3 linked regions of the Drosophila melanogaster genome follow. The protein of the gene in region 3 purifies or fractionates together with the protein of the main gene of each other region. This does not show direct contact. Each region holds a gene or a part of one and is shown on either strand. Other genes may lie near its edges.

The links.
Region 1: the proteins of IntS6 (region 3) and IntS2 purify together in Drosophila melanogaster (affinity purification with mass spectrometry, with the first as the bait; one large-scale study listed by BioGRID). This does not show direct contact.
Region 2: the proteins of IntS6 (region 3) and defl purify together in Drosophila melanogaster (affinity purification with mass spectrometry, with the first as the bait; one large-scale study listed by BioGRID). This does not show direct contact.

What each region holds. Positions count from the first base shown.
Region 1 is NC_004354.4:17,652,254-17,658,480, reverse strand, and holds IntS2 (integrator 2), read left to right. Parts: upstream 1-1,662; 5' UTR 1,663-1,882; coding exon 1,883-2,698; intron 2,699-3,022; coding exon 3,023-4,659; intron 4,660-4,725; coding exon 4,726-5,590; 3' UTR 5,591-5,720; downstream 5,721-6,227. UniProt on the Drosophila melanogaster protein: Component of the integrator complex, a multiprotein complex that terminates RNA polymerase II (Pol II) transcription in the promoter-proximal region of genes.
Region 2 is NT_037436.4:9,721,401-9,727,213, forward strand, and holds defl (deflated), read left to right. Parts: upstream 1-2,022; 5' UTR 2,023-2,141; coding exon 2,142-3,611; intron 3,612-3,668; coding exon 3,669-5,204; 3' UTR 5,205-5,306; downstream 5,307-5,813. Other genes in the region: nbs, read right to left, coding at 1-760, 818-1,639, 1,705-1,723. UniProt on the Drosophila melanogaster protein: Component of the integrator complex, a multiprotein complex that terminates RNA polymerase II (Pol II) transcription in the promoter-proximal region of genes.
Region 3 is NC_004354.4:5,744,211-5,748,898, reverse strand, and holds the start of IntS6 (integrator 6), read left to right. Parts: upstream 1-1,644; 5' UTR 1,645-2,127; intron 2,128-2,523; exon of another isoform or gene 2,524-2,696; intron 2,697-4,199; exon of another isoform or gene 4,200-4,543; intron 4,544-4,688. Other genes in the region: Rtel1 (regulator of telomere elongation helicase 1), read right to left, coding at 1-1,030. UniProt on the Drosophila melanogaster protein: Component of the integrator complex, a multiprotein complex that terminates RNA polymerase II (Pol II) transcription in the promoter-proximal region of genes.

The DNA.
Region 1 (6,227 bases), about 12 Mb from region 3:
ATTTATATCTTTTAACTCGTAACTTCGAAATGAAACTTCAACTCGTGACCTCAGAGGGCCGGGTGGGTGAGAAGAGCGGGGTGCAAGGGAAATGGGAAATGGGGAGTGTGTGTTATTTTTAGCCGATGTGTTGGTGAGCACGTAACTGTATTTCAGCCAAGTGCATAGGCGTATGCGTATCTACGGGGAAGAAAAAAGAGCGCACCGCTTGTATTTCATAAAACTCACAAGCACACGGAACCTCAACGTATGATACACATGTATATATATATATATATCTCCGATTAGGCGATAGCCGTGTTCTTCGCTTTTTATCACCAACGGAACGAACAACTGACGCAAACGTTACTTAAGGCTTGCGCTTCTTCTTCTTGCACAGCAACATGTCATTCATGCGTTTAATTCACAGCTCTAGAGTTTCGGTCCTGCCATTCAGGCACATTTACACCAAGTAATTTAAAAAATAAAAAAAAAAATGCGAACTACACTCGTCCAATTCGATTACTCGAACAAACATACACACACACTCACGCACGCTACGCGCTCTCAACGAAAACCGAATGATGTCATCATCGGTGGCAGAGACAGCGACGCCGGCAGCGACGGCGACAGCGTCGAAATATATGAGTTAGCAGGCAATTTTAATCGATGATGTTTTTATTATGTACGTAGAAATGTATGCGAGAAATCACTTGCTTTTCATATTTTAGCACACTTCTAATTCTCAAACCAAAAACACACACACAGGCACACCAAGAGTAAGAGTCGCTCACACATTCGTTAGATACTTTTTGCTCTCTTTTGCCACTTCTGCCTTTTATTGGTGGCTCCTTTTTCGTGGCCTATTCACTTGGGCGTTGGTCTATTTCACATTTTCCCCGTTCGACCGCTTGCGTTTCGAATTTCGCGCCGTTTTTACTGCACTGCGGCGACTTTCACTTACCTACTCGATAATTTTGCAGCTCCGCTCGCCCTAATTGATTCATAAAACACAGTTAATTTCATAGATTTAGCACGTTCAACTAAAAATCTTCGGTCTGGCGGATGAACTTCACTTGGCGAGAATGGAAAAAATGTATGTATTCAAAACATCGCGTTGCGAACGAGTGAACGAAGTGAACCAGCGCGAGAAGGCGCTAAAAAACGCCTACTGCGCAGTGTGGCCGTGCCACATGATCTGGCTATAAATTAGCCAAAACGGTGGAACTTAAGATTTTTATATATTATTTAACTTAAATATTCCTTCATATTTGTATAACCTAATATTACATAAACAATTGTTTACGCCACATGTACTCTATTACTTCGAGCTATTTAAATAATATTAATTAAATTTTTATCAGAACCAAAATGTTCTTATTTTCCTAAGATTTTCGTTACAGAAATGCTTATATACAAACATAACTTATTTATATTTAACTTTTTTTAATATGTTGGCTTTTTGGGAGAATATAAGCCTTATTGCTAATAATAACAGTAAAGATTTTACTAACTTAATAGTACTAATAGTTGTTAGCCTCTTGCAATAATTGTTAATATTTTTCTTTAGCTGCGCATCTCTTTGTTAACCTTCACCTATGAGAGCAGTATAGTATTTTTATAATAATAAAATAATAAAATGTAGTAATTGCTGGTATATTTGCAGCCTCTCCAACTGGCCACACTGACGTGTGTTGATTTTTTGGATGCGGATCGCAGTGGATTCTCGGATTCTCCGGCATTCCCTGCCCCAACTACAGATCGCCGAGATTAAAGCAGACCCGCGCCGGCATCTCCAGCACGGACACCCCGCCGGCCAGGCCAATAGAGCGGGACAACCGAGCACACGAGCATTGCCGGGTGCAACAAGTTGGAACGCAACGACAACGACGACGAGGACAAAATGCCGGTGAGGATGTACGATGTATCGCCGCGCGTTTTCTGCGCCATGCAGAATCTGGACATCACCCTGCTGGCCAGCTATCCGGAGGCGGAGATTCGGCCCGTGCTGCCCTCGCTGGTGCGGATGAGCCTGCTATCGCCACTGGACAACACCGAATCGTCGATGGAGTCGCGCAAAGAGATCCTGGCCGTGCTCATCGGCATCGAGGTGGTGAACAGCATCGTCTCCTACCTGCAAGTCAACTACCATGAGCTGGAGAATGAGCTGAAGAAGGAGCTGCAGGCCCGCCAGAAGTCGGCCTTCTTCGAGGGACAGCAACACGAGTACGGCCTCCAGTCGGGCATCGCACTGGGCTTTGAGCGGGCGGATGTGGCGCGCAAGGTGCGCGTGGTGCTCTCCGAGATCTTCAATCTGCAGCAGCAGGTCTCCGAGCAGAAACCGGCCGCCCATTCGGAGATGCTGGACGACGGCATCTATCTGGAGGAGGTGGTCGACATTCTGTGCATTGCTCTCGCCGAGCTGCCCTCCCTGCTGAACATACTGGAGCTAACGGACGCCCTTGTCCATGTGCCCAACGGACATCGCATCATCTGCGCACTGGTCGCCAACTTTCCGGATTGCTATCGCGACGTTGTGTCCCATGTGATCGCCAATTGCGACGAGGATGGCAGCGATGGCAAGCACCGGTTAATGCTGCTCATGGGGCTCAGCGAGATGAATCCCTCCCAGGCGCTGGCCAACAGGTCCATGTGCGTGGATATGCTGAAGGTGCCGTCGTTTATGCTTAAGCTCACGCTCAAGCATCCCGAGGATCTGGTGAGTAGGGTAATATTGACCAGTAAGGTGCAGATTTACCACAACACTATAATCGTTAGGAAATTCTTTGCATTTCATTTAAATTTAACGTACATAAGAAATGTTTTTTGATCATATTTTGTTGATTGATCTTTTTTGTTTGGAGTACCATTCATTTGGAGTTCTGCTTATTTTTGTGTAACATGTGTTAAGCAAAAGCAAAAGCGAGAAAATGTTGCTTAGCTATCTCGCTCTAATTCGCTAGAGCGATTGAATCTTATTTGGACGTATGACAATATTTACGAATAATGAGATAACAATGCAAACTTCAACCACTCCCCACAGATAGCCTTCCTCACGGGCCTGCTGCTGGGCAATGACCAGAATCTGCGCTCCTGGTTCGCCGCTTACATCCGCTCCAGCCAGAAGCGGAAGGGGGACGCACTGAATCTGGTGCGCGTGGAGCTGCTACAGAAGGTGATTCAAACGACGACCAATGCGGCGGAGCTGCGCGACTTCAATCTGCAGGGCGCGGTGCTGCTGCGTCTGTACTGTGCCCTGCGCGGCATCGGTGGCCTGAAGTTCAACGACGACGAGATCAATGCTCTGTCGCAGCTGGTCACGAGTTGTCCGCAGGCGACGCCCTCGGGCGTGAGATTTGTAACGCTGGCGCTGTGCATGCTCATCGCCTGTCCCTCGCTGGTGTCCACCATTCCACTGGAGAACAAGGCTGTGGAGTGGCTGCAGTGGCTCATACGGGAGGATGCCTTTTTCTGCAAGCGCCCCGGTACTAGCACCTCGCTGGGTGAGATGCTCCTGCTTCTGGCCATTCACTTTCACAGCAATCAGATCTCGGCCATCAGCGAGATGGTCTGCTCCACGCTGGCCATGAAGATACCCATCCGGCCGAACAGTACAAACAGAATCAAGCAGCTCTTCACACAGGACCTGTTCACGGAGCAGGTGGTGGCGCTGCATGCGGTTCGCGTACCCGTCACTCCGAATTTAAATGGCACCATACTGTGCTACCTGCCGGTGCACTGCATCCAGCAACTGCTGAAATCGAGGACATTTCTCAAGCACAAAGTGCCCATTAAGTCGTGGATCTTCAAGCAAATATGCAGTTCGGTGAGGCCAGTGCATCCTGTGATGCCGGCCCTGGTGGAGGTCTTTGTCAACACGCTGATAATACCCAATCCCACCGGAAAAGTGAATATTGATCACATGCACCGGCCCTTCACTGAGGCGGAAATTCTGCACGTGTTCCGCACATCCAAGCTCACATTCTTCGCCGAGGAGCTGCCACCGATGGCGGAAAGTCAGGAGCTCAACCAGATCGAGGTGACGTGTCCACTAACCGCCCAGCTGCTGATGATCTACTACCTCATGTTGTACGAGGATACGCGACTGATGAACCTCAGCGCTTTGGGTGGTCGCAAGCAGAAGGAGTACTCCAACAACTTCCTGGGCGGACTGCCACTGAAGTATCTGCTCCAGAAGGCGCACCACTACCACAACGACTATCTCTCGCTCTTCCATCCGCTGCTGCGTTTGATTATCTCCAACTATCCGCATCTCAGCATGGTCGATGACTGGCTGGAGGAGCACAATCTGGCCCAGGGCAATTCCACGGTGGTGGTAAGCAAGCATGAGCTCAAGCCGGAGACCCTGGATCGTGCACTGGCCGCCATCCAAACGAAACCGCATCTAGCCATCCGCGTGTTTAAGCAGCTACTCCAGATGCCCCCAGAAACGCAGGCGCAGTATGGACAACAGCTGGTGAAGCATCTGCCGATGGTGTTTGCCAAGTCGGTGCCGCGATACGTCAAGGATCTGTACAACGATATTTGGCTGCGCCTGAATGCCGTGCTGCCCACCACCCTGTGGATCATGTCGCTGCGAGCGATTACCAACGGCTCGGATACGATGGATCGACGTACCTTTGCCAACGAGAGTCTTCTGGAGCCCATGGAGGTGCTAAGGTGGGTTGCCTCGTCATTTTCGTGTGTTGTTTCCTAAAATTCTTTCGCATTCCTTTTGATCAACAGTTGTCCACGCTTCGTATTCTGTTCGCCCTATTTGCTGATGATCCTGCTGCGCATTCTGAAGGGCAGCCTAGCCGCCTCGAAGACCTATCTCAACGTGCACATGCAGATGCAGCAGAAGCAGGTGCTGGACAAGAATGGCATGATGCAGACGGATGCGATTTGGGAGGACCTAAGGACCACGCTGATTGCCTCGCAGGAGAGCGCCGCCGTGCACATTCTGCTGGAGGTGCTGGACTACATAGCCAGCAAGGCAACGGATCGGGTGTCGCATCTGGAGCTGCGTGAGATACAGGGCATCATTGGCACCTATGTGCATCAGGCATTCATTTCGGAGCCTTCGCTGGCGAAACTAGTGCACTTCCAAACGTATCCAAAGTCGGTTATTCCCATGATGGTGGCCAGTGTGCCATCGATGCACATATGCATTGATTTTGTTCACGAATTCCTCAACGTGACGGAAATGGAAAAACAGATCTTTACCATCGATCTGACCTCCCATCTGGTGCTCAACTATTCGATACCCAAGAGTCTGGGCGTCTCGAAATTCTGCCTGAATGTAATCCAGACGACGTTGTCCATGCTGACCGCATCGACCAAGTGTAGATTCCTGCGCAATGTGATGCCAGCGATGGTTCGTTTCGTGGAAACGTTTCCCATTCTGGCCGACGACTGCGTCAACATCCTGATGACCACCGGGCGCATTCTGCATTCGCAGTCATCGCTGGGCATGACCACAATGGAAATGCCACTCACCGATAGCGACAAGCTCTGCACGTATCGGGATGCCCAGCTGCACATCATCATGATCGAGGACGCGTTTAAGGCACTGGTCACGGCGGTCATGAAAAAATCGGACCTGTATTAGTTGGACTCGATCCCGCCTTGTTTTTCATAGTCGTAAGCAACCTTTCCCCACTCCGCCCCCCGGCTGATTATAATAGTGCTTGTAAAATTTATAACAACATTGACCAGAATAAATACTTATTGCAAAAACCATTTCTATATAACTAATTAATTAATTGAGTTTAAATTTGGCGCCTCAAATAAATATATAACTACGCAGCTGTTATCGGAATCTACTTTTATCGATAATATACTTTGGTTAGCGAGTACACATACCAGATATATCTATCGTTCCCGGCCATGCCACCCATACGCGTATCGGGTTATCGATAAAAACTAACAAGCATCGACATTAGTTCCAGCTCTAGTTTTTGTTGTTGTTAAATTAAAGCTCGGATGTGAATTACAATAATTGTGAGTAGCGTTCGTGCGTGCGTAATATGCGAATCGACTGGCATTCGGCATTGAGTTTTGTGTTTTGATTCCTGAATCGAGTCAGGACGTATCTGACCTGCTTTTTCAGTGTGCGTTTACGATGCTGATTCGTAATTGTCCTTTGTATACGTTGTGTACGCGCTGCTCCTCTCTCCTCTCGCTCTCCCTCTCCCGCTCTCCCTTGTCTTGAGTGTGTGCGCCTGCTGTGTGCGTGTGTGTGAGTG
Region 2 (5,813 bases), on a different chromosome or scaffold from region 3:
TTGTCAGCCGGTTGGTTGGTAATATTTGTGGCCAATGATTTCCCATTGAGTCGTGGTGAAATCCTGGTGGCAACGGGTGCTTCCGTTTTCTTCTTGGCCATCGAAGGGATAGTTGGAGCTGGCGTTTCTTTTGGTTTCCGAGCATTTTCGTTCTCCTCATCCGATGAGTCAACACAAAAAACCTGTTTGGTCTTCCGTGTTATGTGCTTACTCGCAGCTGGAACAGGTGGATGTACGGATTTCTCCTCAGCGATGGCTTTGCTCTGCCTTGTTACTCGTTGAACTGGAGCAGGCGCCGGAGCTGGTGTCACATCTTCTTCCAAAGACGAGTCCAACAATATGGCATTCTTTGATTTCATGGTCAGTTTCGTAGCGATATCCGATTTAGCTCGCTTAGACAATGTTGATTTCTTCTCCTCGTCCGAGGAGTCAACTGTTGAGGCATGACTCCGCTTACGCAAAGAAGCTTGGTCCTCCGAATGGGGCTTAGAAGCATCTTGTTCCATTTCACATTCAATTGACTCAGGCACCACCAGTTCGGAAATGGGCGTGGCATTGGATTGCGCCGAGTGGCGTTCCGTGTTGGGCACAATGATCGAAGAGTTAAAGGCCATCGAGGAAGTTACAGACTCCGTGGTGGGCAATGAATCGGAGATGAACTTGTGCGTTGGGTTGCAGAATTCTGTTATAGAGCAATGTATTAGGGCCATGCCAATCTCGTACTCCTGGATAATACGTCGACCATTCTGTTCCAAAATATCTAAAAATTATAATACATAATAATACTTAAACGCTGTGATGTGAGCAATATATTTACACCTATCTTGTATACTATTGATTGATTCAGTGGCCTGCGACTGGGACGATGGCACATACTGTATGACTATCACATCACTCTTTGTTAGGAATGTTTTGCGCACACCCGAATTGATGTCCTTGCACGTGGCTCCAGCCTTCTGCACAACTGATCCGTACATATCAAAGTGTTTGCGGTTCATGAAGACGAATGTCTTGCCGGCGAAGAGACGGGTACGCTCAGGACGCCAGGTGACATCTATGTTGGTGGGCTGGTAATCCTCCGGCTGAGGCCAGCCCTCCTTGACATGGATGCTCTGCGCTGCCTGCAGCATCTTTCGCCAGTAGGGGAATGTCACAATCGGCTTATTCTCGAGCATAGCGTGCAGTAGTTTCACGGTCACCGAAACTTCGTTCATGGTTAGATGGGAGCACTCTTCGGTCCAGTTCGAAGTGACCGTGCCGCCCATGGGTTCAAGCATCTTCGTGAGCTCCTGGACCTCGGAACGCGTTAATGCGGAGACAGTTGTAACCAACTTCAGTTGGGTCACCTGCCAAATGCTCATGTTTGCGCCAAATCGCAAGCGTGTGCCCACAGGCAATGGAGTCGATGTTTTGGCAGGCACCTTGCGCGGCTTTTGGGAATTCTTGGGGAAAATGAAAGTGCCATATCTGGAGCCAAGGTCCTCGATATGCAGGGTGTCATCGCCATCCGCTTCCGTTTGGATGAGCAGCTGGGCATGATTGCGACTTATACTGAGGTCCTGCGCAACAATTAAATCCGTGGCCAGGCGACCAATGGTGTACACCTTTTTGCCAGGAAACAACACAAACTTTTCGTCATCTATAAAGAGTATTTAAAAAATGAATAAACTAATAATCTCTGTGTTTTAGACCATTTTTACGTGCCTTTAGTCAAAACAAACATAATTTCAAAACATTAACAAATTCAACAAATAGCGAGCAGTGTGACCTTAGCAGATTTGCAAATTATCTACACAGAGACAAAGAAGGAGTGAGAATAATAGGCTACATCACTTTCTACATAATTTTCTAAGTTAATAGTTGTTTCTTAAATTGATTTTTTTCTTATTTTAGAAATCAGGATAATTTTATTATCGATCGACAAACGCTTATAAAGAATTGACAATATAGACTTTGGATTCAAACGTTTTTTTTACTGTTAAGTGACCAGCTATCGCTGCAATGATACCGGAGTTTCCTACGAACGACAAATTAGCAAGAAGAAGCATTTGCAGCCGGTTTGTTTTTGTGTCGTTTGGCTAATGAAAACCTCAATAAACACGATTTATCTGCGATAAATGTGAGTGAGGAAACCTGTAACCATGTCTCACCTGACCGGCACCCGCGTGAGCACCTTCAACGAGAGCTTCCTTAACGAAAATGAGCACGACTCGAATGCGGTGCTCATGGAACTGGACAAGGGACTGCGGAGCACCAAGCAGGGAATCCAGTGCGAGGCGGTCGTCCGCTTTCCGCGCCTCTTCGAGAAGTATCCGTTTCCCATTCTCATCAACTCGTCGTTCATTAAGCTGGCCGATTACTTTGTCAGCGGATCGAATCTGCTGCGCTTCTGGGTGCTCCGTGTTTGCCAGCAGAGCGAGAATCATCTGGACAAGATCCTCAACATTGACAGCTTTGTGCGCTGTATCTTTGTGGTGATGCACTCCAACGATCCGGTGGCGCGTGCTCTCCTCCTGCGCACCTTGGGCGCCGTTTCCCGTGTGATTCCCGAGAAGCAACAGGTTCATCATGCCATTCGACGTGCTCTGGATAGCCACGATACCGTCGAGGTGGAGGCTGCCATCTATGCCAGCAGCTGCTTTGCCGCCCAGTCAAGTTCCTTTGCCATCAGCATGTGCGCCAAGATTTCGGACATGATCGAATCGCTTCAGGTGCCGGTGCCAATGAAGCTGCTCCTGATTCCCGTGTTGCGACACATGCATCACGAGGCTACCACAGCGTCACTGGTTAGCAGACTGTGCATGGATCTGCTGCCCAAATATCCAGCCCAGAGCTTTGTGGTGGCCATCATAGACACGCTCACTCAATTGTCATCACGAACGCTGGTGGGAGTGCCCGGTCAGCTGGATGTTCTGCTGGATTTCATGCAGGACTTAAGGACACCAGTACGCATACAGGTGCTGCGATCTTTCAACGAGTTGGCCGGACGTCAGAGCGTTCATGCCTGGCCCAAGCCAGCCATCAAAGCGCTCATTGATCGTTTTGAATTGTGTACCAATTCCAAGGAGCAGTTCCTCTTCCTCTCAATCCTGCTGAAGTTAAGCGAGTGCCCGCTTACTTGCCAGCAGCTGCTTCGCGAGCATCGCGTAGCCCTGCTCCGTTTGTGCATCCAGTGCATTAGCAAGCTGGACGACTACACCACCGCCACTCAGGCCATGGCAGTTTTGTCGGTTCTAGTAGCATTTGGTTTAAAAAAAAAGGGCAGCGGCGAGCAGGTGGACGATATTCTTCATATGGTCAACCTGCACATGGAAGGATTGCTCCTTTGCACGGCCAAGCGGTCGGAGTGCACCCGCGATCTCCGTAGGGTGCTGACATACGGTATAAGGATCACTAAAGCCAACGCTGAATTTGGAACATCCTTCATTGGGATCGTGACCAATAGCCTGGGAGATAAGGGTGCCTATCCGCCAGCCAATGCGGAACTTATGTGCGAGGCACTGGCGGGTCTGTGTGAGCACTTTCAGCTGCGTAAGTACGCCTTTTCCACCGCAGAAGATTTGATAGTAGACGAAAACGCGATGGACACCGATGAGTTGCCCCCGCCCAAGGTATCTAATGCATTAATACATCTATGAAACAATTTCTAATTTCTAATTTAACCACAGATAAATCCCATGCTAGCTCGTTTGCCGCTCATTCTGCACAAGCTGAACACCATTATCGACCAGGAGAATTGCGATCAACAGTTGCGCAGCGTGGAGATCCTGAGTTCTCTGGTTCTACAAACCACCATGGGCTGTTACCTGCCGCAAAAGGTTGTTCAGTGCTTTGAGAAATGCCTCGGTAGGCTTAACTGCTGGACGCTGTATAGGATTGCACGCACTGCTAGTCGCTATGGTCACCACTATGTGGCTGCTCACATTTACACCAAGGTCTCCCAGATTGTGATCAGCGATCATATGCACTATTTCCTGGTGGCACTGTCGCAGATCTCGCAGGCGGAGTGCATTCTTAACTATGGCTTGGAATACGCCTACATGCGGGACAATTATGCACCAAAGGTGGCACCGGAACCTCTAATTCCGCTGATGAAGCGCTTGGAAATGGCTAGTAATCTCTATCAGCAAGCGCTGGCCAGCCTGCGAGCTGGCTCCTCGCCCCAGCATCCGTGCACCTTTCAGTTGGAGTATCTGAAGATAAGGGCGCAGTTTCTGCAGACCCTTCACCTGGCTGTGACCGTAAAGAATGCCCAGGTGATTGTGCCGCCACCGGCAATAGCTGGAAGTTTGGCCCAGAACTCGCGCGACTATCTGCAAAAGTTTGGTCATGTCACGAACCAGCTGCGCAAGCTGGTGAAGGCACTAAAGGCCTGCGAGGAGACTTACGCTAGGCTATACAAATCCTCTTTCGATGCGGATCACGTGACGCTGGAGTTTCTGGAGGTGGCTGAATTTCAGTGCGCTCTTTTCGCCCACATCATCGAGTCGATTTGCTACGCCACGCCTCCGGAACCGCCTGTATTTCTAACCACAGGCGATCACCCGGAGACGCGCTACTTTGCCGCAAGCTGCCAGCGCATGGAGCAGATGCAAAAAAACCTGCCACAGGAGCCGGCCAATGCCAAGACCATTAGTAACCGACATTTGGATGTCATCATTGCGCAGATCGAGATCATAACAAAGACACCGCTCTGCCTGCCGCGTTACTTCTTCCAGATTCTGCAGTCCACACAGATCAAGCTATCGGTGAGTCCGCAGCCAAGGAGCGCCACCGAACCCGTGAATGTCCAGTCGGGCAGTAATCTGGTTATCAAGGTCGAGGGTGTCCTGCAGCACTTTAGCAAGCAGAAGAAACACTTCCGTCGCGTGGAGTCCGTTCAATTAAGCCTCACCTCACAGCTAATCACGCCGCCACCGCGATCCTCGCAAGAGCTGCCCAAGCAGGGCGCCAACGATACTGTGACCCTCAATCAGATTGTAAAGCCCCAGCGCGATTTCCTCTCCGGCAGCTTCCTGTTGCCCATCTCCAATGGCGGGCACTTCCAGGTGACGCTGGAAACATTCGTGGTGGACGAGAATGGCATTACCTGGTGCACTGGCCCCAAATCCTCGATGGTGGTGCGGGTGCTGGAGGATCCTAGCAAGCAGGGCGCTCCAGCGCCGAGCACTTCCCAGGCAGTGGGACAGACGAGGAGGTTTTAAACATTAAAAACGGGTTTCTATATGTCTTAAGATTAAATATTTTTAAAAATATAAATATTAGTTTAGGCATTACATCCAAAGTGGAAATATACGTTTTTCATCAAGAAATTGTGTTTTCTTAAATGTCTATTTATGTAAAATATTGATAAGCGTTAAGAAAATGTGCACCAAAAATCAGATAATAATATTTCAAAACAAAAATAAATATTAATTTCCAATCGGAGTGTTAAATGCTCTTTGAATTAGACAATGTATCGATACTATCGAAACAGGTGGGTCCACCCCCATCGCGTGGTATGTTTGAAAGCCCCGAGTGCGGTCTCACTACTGCTGATTTGTTTTCATTAATTCTTTTTGGCTTGGCGAATAAATTAGGACAAATGAGGCATCATCGCGGGCCAACTGAATTGTGACCAGCGGGCAGCAGCAGCGGCATGCGACACCGACACCATCAGCGCATCAGCACCACCTGGCCAGCGTTGTAAGGGATTCTCCCACCCTCCCCAAAGAGCCAACGATTCCACTTGAGACCCAAAAGTCCCAGTTTAAAACCAAAATCAAAATCAGCGGAGCACCCGCACACCAGCGAGAGCAAGTGGTTTCTACATG
Region 3 (4,688 bases):
CGTACATCATGGAGGCGGGAAAGGTAGTTCCATCGACGGCGTTGTCCACAACGATGGCATCGATGGCCTTTTCGAGCTCGAGCAGCATCTCCTTGAGCAGTGTAAGGTCGTCCAGTGTGAAGTCCTTTGGCTCATCTCCAGCCATATCCTGCGACTCGCCGCTCGCAAAGACTTGCATGATATGCGTGACGTCCTCGATGGCCATGGCCACATCAGAGGACTTAATCTGCACCGAAGCGGACTCCTCGCAGATCTTCTCGATGTTGTGGGCCTCATCCAGGATCACAATAGTGTTGCCCAGTTCGATTTTGTTGGCCTTGCGAGCCTTGGGATCGAGTAGATAATTGTAGGGCATGAAGGTGATATCCGCCTGGGGAACCAACTCCCGAGACGCGAAGTAGGGACAGATCTTGAGTCGCTGGCCCACCTTGACCAGGTCCTCAATGTCCATGATGGTGGGTCCGCGCAAATCGGGATGATCCTTTCGCGACTCAACGCGCATTTGAAATGAACAGGTCTTGGAGTGCACCCGTAGCTTGCACATGTTGGTCTTGTTGGAGTTGCCCTGCTCCCGCATGACCTCCGGATGAATGCATAGCTGATCGCGGGAGCCCAGAACCACGGATCTCATGTTAGCGTACGCTGTCCTCTTGAGTTCCCGCATCGCCTGCGTCAATTGGGAGTGGGTGCGCGAGGCGTAGATGACCTTGGGCACGCCCCAGTTATTCGCACGACCCATGGTCTTGGCCAGCTCGGACAGGTCTCCCCCAGGTGCTCCGCCTCCAAGACCCGAAAAATCTGCCTTCTCCATCTTAACCATCTGCTTTTGGTGCTCCGATTGCCTGGTGCGGATCCAGGCCAAGGATGAGCACAGCAAGCTTAGGGTCTTGCCCGTGCCGGTTGGCGATTCCAGGACTCCATTCGTGCCATCGCGGAGACAATGGATCACCTTCTCCATGTACGCCCGTTGAACCGGGTACGGCTCGAACGGAAAGTGCACCGGAATGCCGGCGATCAGGCTCTCCGGCATTATTCTTAATAATACTATTTATTTACTTGTTTACGCGCCAAATCGGAGTGAACATGTGTTCGTTGGTCGATAACAATAAATGTCTGTGTAGGTGGTCAGTTATCGCTATCGATAGAGTACAGTGGACCCTGATTAAGTAATTTTATAGCGTTATCTTGAACTCCGAGTCAAATGTTTACAACTTGCATGTCAAACCCTGCGTAGTTTATTTTAAACGTAATAGTAGTACTAATCACCACCCAAAGTGCTGCAATCGTGTTTATGGTACCTTATGGATAATAGTAACTGAAACTTATAAACTTATTAGCATTGGAGGGAATACTGTAGTTGTGATTCTGTTTATTTGGATCAAAGATTAACGATATAACATTTTAAGTGAATGTTATGGATTATACCAAACTAATGAACTAATGGCATTCAAGATTAAATGTGCAGCATACATATAAATCCCCTAACAAGGTAAGTAAATATTTGACATCAATTATTACAAACTCAGTTAATTCAACCACAAATCCATTTATCGTGACCCCTTCGCTCGGCTTTTCCGAATCGCCGCGATACGGCCCCACTGATTTGGCGCTTCTCGGCCACACCAAAAAAACACAGAACGGCATCAAATCATTCGAACTTTGAGAACGGTAGTGTTGTGTTGTTATTGCTCGGCAGCAAAGTAAAATCCGAAGAGAAGCGAGTCGAACAAGAGAAGAAGAAGCGCAGGAGTGGACGACAGCAATGCAACAACAGTGACGAGGCGCCAGTGTGCAAAAGTATGTGTGCGAGTGCGTGTAAGCAACAACTCCCCGATACAAACCTACGAGCGAGAGGGGGACGGCGATAGCGACGGTCGTTCGGTCGGTCGGTCCGACCGCTAGTCGCGTCTGTCGGTCGTTCTCGCCTATGCACCTCGGCGGCAGAGCGAAAGAGAGCGCACTCTGGCTGTGTGTGTGCGTGTGTGTTCTCGCTCTCTCGCGCGGTGGTGATAAATTTCTGTTGGCACAAAGTAAAAATATAACAGAATAAAAAATCGTGGCGCGGCATATAGAAGCTAATCGAAAATTATTGCGAGTATTGGGTGGAGGAGAAACATTCCTCTTCTTGTGAGTGCGTTTTTGTTTTAGTTATTCTTTTTTTTTTTTTTTTTGGCCGGAAACTCTCACTCGAAGATGCTGCCGGTGTAGTTGTGTATGAATGTTGTACCATTTTTTTTTTTTTTGAGATAGAAAATTTAGATCTAAAATATTAACCATGCGATCCTTAGAATCGCACTTTTAAAATATGTCCACACATTTTCAAATTCGAAAGCTTTGGCGGGCTGTCGATGGGCGGGCGCTTGCAACTCTGGCGATAACGATTACCGTGCCGATAACGCGGCTGCACTAATCAGCATTATCACATGCAAATTAAGGTCATCCAAATGAAAAATGACCACCAATCAAAGGCCCTGCACCCCTTTGCCGCCCCCCATTTATGCGAAACAACTAGAAAAAGTGTGTTTATTTCTTCACCGTTTTTCGAGCTCTGACAACCCTGCCGCTGCTGCATAAGTGAATTCCGACAAAGAGCCGTGTCATTTTGTTGGCCAAAACATCGCTGCGCCGAGATTAATTAGACGGAAAAAACTCGATTACTTGAAGTGCTCGGCCCTATATCGTTTTGGTTTAAACGTGTGTGTGAGCTTTGTGGATTGCCATCAAACACAATAGGCCGACTCGTCCCCCGCAGCCACCCGTACCATTCCAACACGTCGGAGCAGGGTTGCCAGATCAACGATAAATCACACACCGCTCGTTTAATACGAATTTTGTGTTGTTTTTACTTAAGACAAAATTTGTGAAACTTAATAGATATATTTTAATTTCCGCTCAACGTTATACCTGTCCGAAGTGGGGGTATCTGGCAACTACACCGAGCCGCGTGTGTGCGAATGTGTGTGTGCATGTCCATGTGCGCGAGTGTGCGTATGTGTTTGCGCTCTTATTCAAATAGAAATTGAATGTTTTGCACTCGAATTCAAGACAATTACGGCTCCTCCGGTAAAAACACATTTAGACTGGCTGACCTAATTTAAGGTGTAAGGATGTGGGTTACGCCTGCGATCGCCGAGTGATCGTTATCGTTATCCCGGCTTTGGTTAATCGCATTCCTCCTTCTCCTCCCCCTGGCATCGGCATCCACCACATCCCAACCCCCTTTCTCATTTTTCTCCTCCATCGCCCCTTCTTCGGCAGGCCATCTCCCTCGCTCTCCATCAGAGATGCGTAGGTCGTGCTCCCTCGCACACACACTCACGATCGTGAGCTTGGTCATTGTGTAATCGATTTACGGTTACCTTTTACCTCAACTCGAGATGGTGGGAGCAGTAATCTACTTTGTTAATAGGGGCAGCGAATATCACGCAATATAACAAAGTGTAAGGATATCGAAACTAAACACTAATTTGTGTAATGGTACACTTCAGATAGAAAATAGAGAACCATTTAAAGATCAATCTCTTTGGCACCTGCGTTATAATGACTACTTGTTACCTAGTTTAAAACTTCTACATATGAATCTAACTCATTTATTATTTTGAATATACGACAAGTACGACAATTATAAATATTATTGCTTAGTACTAGACTTCGTATTGTTTTTGGCAAAGCCAAAGCTATTCACACGCGTGTCGCCCACCTGGCTCACGTTGCCATCTCTAGGCGACGCCAGCAGAGCGTTGTAGTGGTGGCAGTGGCGTCGAGTGAATGACTCCGTAGTGGGGCATCAATAGAAAGAGAAGAAGGAACGAGTTAGATGGAGCGAGGAGGAGATGCAGAGGAGGCATAATGGCCAGTGAGTGAAGCGGAGTGGATTTGGATTTGTGTCAAAGCGATTTTCCCCAACATAAATATTTAGCTCTCTAGGACCAACGGCCGACCCCCTGGGAATTAAATTCCATTTTGTTGTTTAATTAGCACTTGCGTTATGCGACAGAGTGTGCGGTGTGTAGATAGTTTGTGAGTGATATCGTTGATTACGCAGTTGTTTCATTATCTGTATGGATTTATATTGCCGCTTCTTAATCGATTGGCCACAGTGCGTATGCGCAACCTATTGATATTTTACAACCAGTTGCGTACCTGTTTCATTATCATTTCGTTCTGTTCTGTTCTGTTTCGTTCGTTACCATTCGCAGTTCGCTGTTGTTGTTGTTTCTCCAGTCCAAATGTCAGCTGTTGCACGCAACATGTACCATAGAAGCGGAACAGCGAAACGCAGAAAAAGAGCAAATCGATCAAGCCCAGGACAAGAACAACAAGTGCAAGAGAATCGGCAGCAAAAACAACAAGCAGATAAAGAGAGCTGCTAACAACGTAAACAAAACCTAAACACCTATACACACGCAAAGGGAGATAGCAACAAATACAAAAACAACAACCACAAATAGCAAGAATATAGCAGAAAGCGAGAGAGAAGGAGAGGGAGAAAGTGCACCTGAGAGGGGAAATAAAAGATCAACGATAAAAGATAAGAGATAAAGTAAGTAAAGCTTGACTTTTTGGTTTGTTGGTCAATCGAAATTGAACCTGTACCGATAACGTTTACCAAATTTCATAACACCAAAACATTGATTTAATTGTCAAAACCAAAACGTTAAACGTTGTGAGTTTTCCAAGTAGACGAG